2 linked regions of the Ovis aries genome follow. The protein of the gene in region 2 interacts with the protein of the main gene of each other region in a pairwise test. Links are inferred from orthologs where the notes say so. Each region holds a gene or a part of one and is shown on either strand. Other genes may lie near its edges. The genes, in order: ZNF830 and AQR.

Region 1 (4,501 bases), on a different chromosome or scaffold from region 2:
GCCAAGTCTTAACCCCTGGACCACCAGGGAAGTCCCTTGAATTAGTTTTAATATACAGCGCCCCTCTAGATCATTAGCCCACTCTCTTAGGCCCGTGTAGAAGTGAGCCCACCCTTCAAGCCCCACCTTGTACTGTCTCACATCCTGAAATAATATGATAAATGATAAAAAAATTCTAAGTCTGGGTTCATATATTTGATGCAGACATACCCTTTACATTATCAAACTGAAGTTACTGTCAGATCAGCGGGACACATCAGGAAAGCAAAGCCTTTTTGCCAAAGGCATAGGACAATTAAAATGCTCTGGAAGCATTTAGATAACTTCTTACAGGCACCCATACTAGAAAAACTCCAAACCCCTGAATTCCATCTGTATTTCTATTGTTCTTCACTTCTAGTCACTAAGATGTTAGCTCTTCCTATGAAATTCTTTAATTCTATTACCTTTTTTTCAGTACATACCTAGTTAGTCTTAGTTGCTTTGCTTTTAAAGTCTAGTTTCCAAGTAGTTTCCCAGCTTCCTGCCCCCTACCCATGTTCATTCCATTCTATATACTGCAACTAAAATAATCTTCCGTATTTTCTGCAGATGTAACTCTTGGCTTGAAAACTTTCTTTTTGCCCAGTGTCTGTAGGAAGAATTCTTTTGTTCAACATTCAAGGCTTTTTCATACCTTAACCCTGGACCTAAAACCTGGGCTTCAGGGAAATCAGACTGAGCTTATATAAATCACTTAGAACTCTGCCTGGCTTATACTGAAAGAAAGTCTTAGCTATTACCTCCTTCTTACAACTGATAGAACCTGTTAACTCTGAACCCTAATTTACCACAATATTTAACAATAAAATCTAAGATTAGGTGGAATATACATAAAACATAGTATTTCTGTTATGCGACAGTAAACTTGTGGGATTTGTCATTTAAAGAAATAAAAGGCTGGGAAAATGTAAATGTGTTCTGGATTTAGCACAGTGGTGCCCGAATTTTAGCCTTATTAGAATAATGGGAAGCTTGCTTTTTTTTTTGGCCAAGCCTCACAGCTTTCCCGGATCTTAGTTTCCTGATTAGGGTACCAGAGATTGAACCGGCGCCGGTTGCAGTGGAAGTGCAGACCCCTGACCACTGGACCATTTGGGAATTCTCACAGAAGCTGGGAAGCTATCAAAACTAATACAGGTGTCTGAGCCCCACTCTAGCTTTACTGAATCTCTTCAATGGTAGGGGCACATGAATTTTAAAAAAAGCTTCACACATGATTCACGTACACTTTTTAAAAAACTTTGCATGAAATTTTCATGTGCACCTACAACCAAGAATTACTGGTTTAATACAGAAACTCTGGATTAAGGTAGTTGATCATGCTTGGCATGTATTTTTCACTATGTTCTCTTGGAACATGGTTTTATAAAACAGAGAACTAATTAGTTCTGAATAACTTGTTATTCATGAGCAGTGTTCTTAAAAACAACAAAATAACCTTGAATTTGATTTAGGGAGTTGGAAAAGAACAAGTCATATATACCGCAAACGCCACACTTGGTTTTCATTTAAATGCTTGTCTGTTAGTCTGACTTCTATTAATTTATAAATTTCAAACCAGAATTCTTAAGTAAATATATATTTAGTATGTACAACATTTACAGTTTTTACAACCCAAACTTTAGCTATATAAGTGTGTGAAAAAACTGGCATTTAAGTATGTAATACTTCAAAAACACCTCTACCTCAAAAATATTTTACACCAATTTTCCAAAGTGGTCTCTTCGCAGGCTCATTGTATCTCAACAATCCAGTTAGGTTACCAAGTCTCTAAGCATGGAGTAAAGGGTACTGTACTGAGACAGCACTTTCTACACAACAGTACAAAATCGTGGGTCTCTGAAACCCTATAACAAAGCTCCCTTCACTCTCCAATCCTGAGACAATAAATCCTGTAGTTCCCCCTCGTCATCGCTGTCAACATTCTCCTCTTCCTTTTTCTGCAGTTCTTTTATGGTCAGAACCTCTTTAAGCTTATTTTTTATTTCATCCTGGCGATTCCGCAGCTTCTCCACTCGACGGTAACACTCAATCTGCTCATCGATCTCCCCAATCTGTCGGTCCAACCGTCCCTCCTCATCCTCTTCGGCAACTATGGCTTCGGAAATAGTGTTGACCTGTCTCATAGCTTTTTGAAATTCGTCCCATTCTTTGTCCATCTGGTCCTTTGGGGCATCAACCTTTCGTACCCTCGCATCTATCTCAGGGTCGTCAAAAAACCCTTCCGGTAATGCTTCCGCAGTGTTTTCTCTCCTTTCCACTACTTTTTCATGTATTTCTGCTTTCTCAATTGACCCGGAATGAGGGATTAAAGGGGCCTTGGGAGGATTTGTATCCGAGAAATTGCTTGGCAGCCTACTACCAGTTGCCTCCCGCGAGGAAGAGAGTGAGTGTTCCTTGCTCTGTGAATTGGACGGCTGCTTACAGGCATCCCCCTTCTTCCCTTCTCCTCTTCCTCCTCCCTCCTCCTCTTCCTCGTCCTCCTCGTCATCATAATCAGGGAGTAAACCGAGTCCCGAAGCCTTACCGACGGTCGCCCTAGTGGACTCCTTCCCGGCTTTGTCGAAGTTGGTGGGCAAAGCGGACGTGGAGGGCTGTACCTGAGGAACCAGGGAGGCCTTCGCTCTTTTGGCATCTTGGCTCTCAGAGTCCGGCGCCTTCCTCTTGGTGGACTGAGGCACTGCGGTGGCGGACGGGCCCTGGGCTGCTTCCTTCGCGCCTTTCAGCTCGGCCACTTTCTCTCGGTGCTGCTTTCCCAGGACGTGAGTCTGCCACAGGAGCTCGCTCTTAACCGGAGTGTTACACAGGGCACAACTCAGCTGCCCCAAGCGGTTGTACTTCGCGAATGGAGATTCTATCCGTTTCCGGTTGGTGCTCAGACGCTGTTTCTCCTTCATCAACCGCCTCAGTTCGTCCTGATTCACCACTCGCTTCCCCGCGGCAGGCCGAGCTGAGGCGGACGACGCCATCTTTGCGATCCGACCGGAGGCGATCCTTGCTTCCGTCCCGGCGACGCCTGATGACGTGACTTCCTGTCCAGACGCGGATTGGCTGAGGCTCCGGGACGTGAGCGGTGGCGCCCAGATTTCCTTTAGTAACGTATATCCCTTCAGTAACAGGCGATTTTTGCCTGTAGGGTCGCTTCACCGATATTCTGTTCATGGCTGCGATAAAGGCCATAAACTCCAAGGCTGAGGTGGCACGAGCCCAGGCGGCCTTGGCCGTCAATATATGCGCCGCCCGAGGGCTGCAGGATGTGTTGCGGACCAACTTGGGTCCCAAGGGCACCATGAAAATGTGAGACGGCCGTTGGAGCGGCGGTTAGGGCATCGGGGTTTGTTGGGCGTCGGGGCGCCCTGTGAGGCAGAGGTTCCGCAGTTTGGAGCGATGTGGACGCATTTGTGGGCCTGCTTTCCCTCGTTTTCATTCCTGCCCTGAGTTCATCTCCTGCCTGGTTGAGGAGGAGAAATGCTCCCCGAAGAAAGGGCTCACGAGTGAAGCGGCGACCACCCCCCGCCCCCACCCCCAACTTCTTGTTTAGGTTCATATGCAGTTAAAAGTTCATTCTGTGTCTGGAATGAAACATAAGCTCTCTAGCTCTCTTGCCTTTAAAGAGTTTGGGTTTTGTTTGGCAGTGTGCTGTAGTGGAGAGGGCTCGGGCTCTGGAGCTTGGCAGGCTTGGGTTCAAATCCAAGTTCTCCTTTAGATTTTAGGTCCTTAGGCAAGTTGAAAGCTCTGTGCATACGGTTCATCATATCTGTTCATCCTTTAGCATGTATTTATTTAGGACCATTATTTGCTTTAGAAGAGAGTGGGGATGGGAAAAAGACTTCCCTGGCTGTCTGCTGGTTAAGACTCCCGGCTTCCACTGCAGGGGGAGCGGTTAGATCCCTGGTGGGGGAACTAAAAGATCCGTCACGCCGCGTGGTGTGACCAGGAAAAAAAGAGTGAGGGGAAGAGACTAGTGAGGGCAATGATGAAGTGTAACAGGAGAGATACAGTCTCAGAAGAATGAGCAGAGTAATTAATATTAACAGTAAAAGAGGGCACTGATTATTTCTAGTTGGGATGCTGGGAATATAGAGATGACCAAGCTACAGTTTCTGTTCTTAAGGAGTTCTGGTAGAGATGAATGTGCTAATGGTTATATATATATATACACACACACACATATATGTATTAGCATATATTGTACTGAGGAAAGGGATTATAACTGATGACAGAAGGGAGAAAGGAAAGCTTCTCAAATAATAGAATTTCTCCTCAATCTTGAAAGAGGATTAGAGTTCACCAGTTAGAGAAGGGAGTAAAGGCCGTCTAGATAGAATAACTTCAGGACCAAGAAAGCCCAATGGTATAAATCCAACAGAAACGAAATCAAACATGATTTATTAAGGGAACCACACGATTTTCCCACAAGATCTCACTTGGTAGAAGAAGTAGAAAGGAATAGACATTC
Region 2 (3,817 bases):
TAACACATTCTGAGGTCTGGGGGAAGGAAACACATGCCCTCTTTGATGGACTGGAGTAACCTATATCCTATAGAGTTAATGCCTTTCCACCAAGAAGACAGCAAAGAAATGAAGGACAGAAAGAAACATGATCTGATCATCTCACACTATGATAGAAGAAATGATTTCCTCCCCAATTTGGATACTTGCTTAAGGTCATTTATGGTTAATTCCAGTACATTTTATCCTTTTTTTTTAGAGAAGTTCACTAAAAATGTGAACTACTATTCCACACAAAATTCTTCTAATGTGGGTATGATTACAGACATAGTTAATGATCAAAATAGCAAAGGAATGGTTATTCACTCTTCTGATTGAACAAATAAAATTGGAGTTGTTCACACACATACATTCTTTTTTAATATATCCAAGAAGACAAACATTGACAATCAGCTAACAAAAATAAGGACTGAATATTCACCAGTGCCATTATAATGGCAGAAGCATATATAAAATACAAGAAGTAACTTTACCTACGACTTTGTTAATGAAATGTCCTCTCTAAGAAGGGCTACAGCTTGGCTACTCGGTTTCTCTGGGAGTGGATGTGACATTGTGAGGGGTGTTATTCTCCGCTGGTACAGTTACCAGTCCTGTGCCAGGGATCTCAGACTCAGCAGGAATAGCCTCTGGACTGGAGCTGGCTCCGGTCTGATCGGGGGTGGTTTCAGTCTCAGAGGCTGAGGTTTCCTGACTGGAGCTGGCATCTGTCGCTTTATCAGGTACAACGTCAGCTTGAGCAGGCATGGCCTCTTCTTCTGTTTCCAATTCTGTTTCCTGACTTTGAACTTCCTCACTTTCTTCTACCATAGCAGGTGGTAGCTGTAATAAAGTCTGATGAAGGAAAAAAAAGAGGGAAACATTAATGAATAATAATAATAAAAAAACCCACCTGGCTTATAAAGTTAGGCTCTCGCATTATCTTCCTAATAGATACTGTCACTCTAGAAAGCTCCAAAACACTGAGGGCTGTTTTATATTGCAGAGGTAACAACTCTGATGATAATGGCCTAGGTTTTGCTGATTCCATGGAATATGCTGACACAGATATCAGATAATAAGAAGATAATATATATTAAATCTTCGGGGAGAAAAACCAATATCAAAAGCAATTAAATTTTTTCATGAAGGAACTTATTATAAACACTGGAAAAGAGTGGCTGATTAGGACTGACTGGCACACCAACTCAAGAAAGGGCCCACTTCAATCAACGGGCGCTGTGAGGGTGAGGATGAACCAAGCCTTGAGACAAGGCTGGGAGAGAACAGCAGGCACAGGGCTTCTGTCCCACTTAACCGGAGCACTGGAGCAGCCCTATATACCCGGCTTCCCTTTCTAGAGCTAAGGCTTGGCTTCTTTCTTTAGGAATTTTGTTTCTCTTGTTGGAAACTGAAAAAAATTTAGAAGCATATTCACAATGGGAGCACAAAATGTGAAATACTTAGCGATAAAACTAACAACATATGTATGAAGGCTGCAGGCTGAAAGCTGCCAAACGCCGATGAGAGAATTCAAAGAAGACCTAAATATAGTGGAGAGGGATATCATACTCATGGGAAGGAAGACTAACTATTGTTATGTTAATTTCTCCCAAATTGATCCTAAGCAATAACACTCAAAAATCCTCATCAAAACCTCAGCATGCTTTTTTCTAGGGACTGAAAGAGATAGGCTGATTCAAAAATGTAAAGGGAAAAGCAAAGGAACTAGAATAGGCAAAAACATTTTGGAAAAGAACAACAAAACTGAAGGAGTCACACTACCATTATCATCATTTTGGCTGTAAGGTGTGGCATGCAATATCTTAGTTCCCTGACCAGTGATTGAACCTGTGCCCTTGGCAGTGAAAGCGTGGTGTCCTTCCTAACCACCGGACCACCAAGGGAATTTTCAGGACTCATATTATCTAATTTCAATATTTACTGTAAAGAAACTCTAAGAAAGATAGTGTAATGGCAAAAGGAAAGACACAAAGATCAATAGAGCAAGGCAGAAACCCAAAAATAAGACTCTCACATACACAGTCAATGAATTTTTTTTTTTCTACTAAGACCACAAGGTAAGATCTTAAAAGTTCTCAACATTAGAAAAAAAAAAGAAACATGTAACTTAGTGTGGCGAAGGATATTAACTAGATTTATTGTGGTGATTGTTTTGCAATGAATAGAAATTTCAAATCATTATTTTATACACCTGAAAGAAAATTAAGTGTCAATTAGATCTCAATTTGAAAAATTGCTTTTTTAATCTCAAAAAAAAAAAAAAAAGTCAGGTGAACAGAGGGAAAAAACAGCCTCCTCAGGAAATGGTGTTGAAACAACTGTATATTCACATGCAAATGAGAAAAATTCAACCCTTGCACCAAATAAATTAACTCACAATGTATCATACTTATAAATATATTAAAAAAAAAACTATAAAACTTCTAGAATGAAACACTGGAATAAAACCATAACTTTGGGTAATGCTAAATGCTTTTAGGACATAAAAAGCATGAATCACAAAGAAACAACTTGATATACTGGGACTTGAAAGACACCTAAAAATGAAAAAAAAAAAAAAAAGTCACAGACTAGGAAATATTTGTAAAAACAAACATCTGATGAGGAACTTGTAGTCAGATTAAAATTTAAAACTCTCAAAACTCCTTAATAATAAAACAACCCCAAAGAGTGAGAGATCTAAACAGACACATCCTCACAGAAGATATACAGAAGGCAAATAACCACGTGAAAAGATGGTCATCAACAGTTATTAGAGAAACGCTAATCAAAACCACAATGAGACCACTACATACCTACTGGAATGCTAAAATAAAGAAGACCAAGCATAGGTATGTGTGAGCACTCACACACTGCTGGTGGGAATATAAAATAGTACAATTCTGTAAGACTATATATAGTCAAAGCTATGGTTTTTCCAGTAGTCATGTATGGATGTAAGTTGGACCATAAAGAAGGTTGAGTGCCAAAGAATTGAACTGTGGTGCTACAGAAGACTCTTGAGAGTCCCTGGGATAGCAAGGAGATCAAACCAGTCAATCTTAAAGGAAATCAACCCTGAATGTTCACTGGAAGCTCTGATGCTGAAGTTCTAATACTTTGGCCACCTGATGTGAAGAGCCACTCATCAGAAAAGACCCTGATGCTGGGGAAGACTGAGGGCATGAGGAGAATAGGGTGACAGAGGATGAGATGGTTGCATGGCATCACTGACTCAACGGACATGAGTTTGAGCAAACTCCACAGGACAGTGAGGGACAGGGAAGCCTGGCGAGCTGCAGTCCACAGTGCTGCAGAGATGGATACGACTTAGCAACTGACCAACGACAACAACTTTGTAAGACAGGTGGGCAGTTTCCTAAAAGAAGTCGAATACATACTTCCCATACTACCCAACCATTCCACTCCTAGAAATTTACCAAAGAGAAGGTACAAAGACTTGTAGGAGAATGTTCATAGTAGTTTTATTTATAAGAGCCAATACTGGAGGCAAACCCAAATGTCCATCAATGATGCATGGGTAAACTTAGCATATCTGTATAATGGATTACTTACTCAACAATAAAAGGAAAAGGACTACTGATACATTCTGAAGTACAAATGAATATTAAAATAATGTTGAGCAATAACAGGTAGGGGAAAAAGAGTACACGTTGTTTGAGTCTCTTTCTATTAACATCTAAAATATGGTGACTAATTATTGTGACAGAAAGTAGATCCTCAGTTTCCTGGAGAAGGTGGAATAGGAACTGGTGAGGGATGAGAGGGATTATTC

The links.
Region 1: the proteins of AQR (region 2) and ZNF830 interact in a two-hybrid assay, tested with the Homo sapiens proteins (2 studies listed by BioGRID and IntAct, with this or other methods). The link is inferred for Ovis aries from reciprocal best matches to the Homo sapiens genes AQR and ZNF830.

The regions. Positions count from the first base shown.
Region 1 is NC_056064.1:14,834,162-14,838,662, forward strand, and holds the start of ZNF830 (zinc finger protein 830), read right to left. Parts: upstream 3,040-4,501; 5' UTR 3,012-3,039; coding exon 1,890-3,011; 3' UTR 1-1,889. Other genes in the region: CCT6B (T-complex protein 1 subunit zeta-2), read left to right, coding at 3,203-3,339.
Region 2 is NC_056060.1:28,539,974-28,543,790, forward strand, and holds part of AQR (RNA helicase aquarius), read right to left. Parts: intron 874-3,817; coding exon 562-873; 3' UTR 1-561.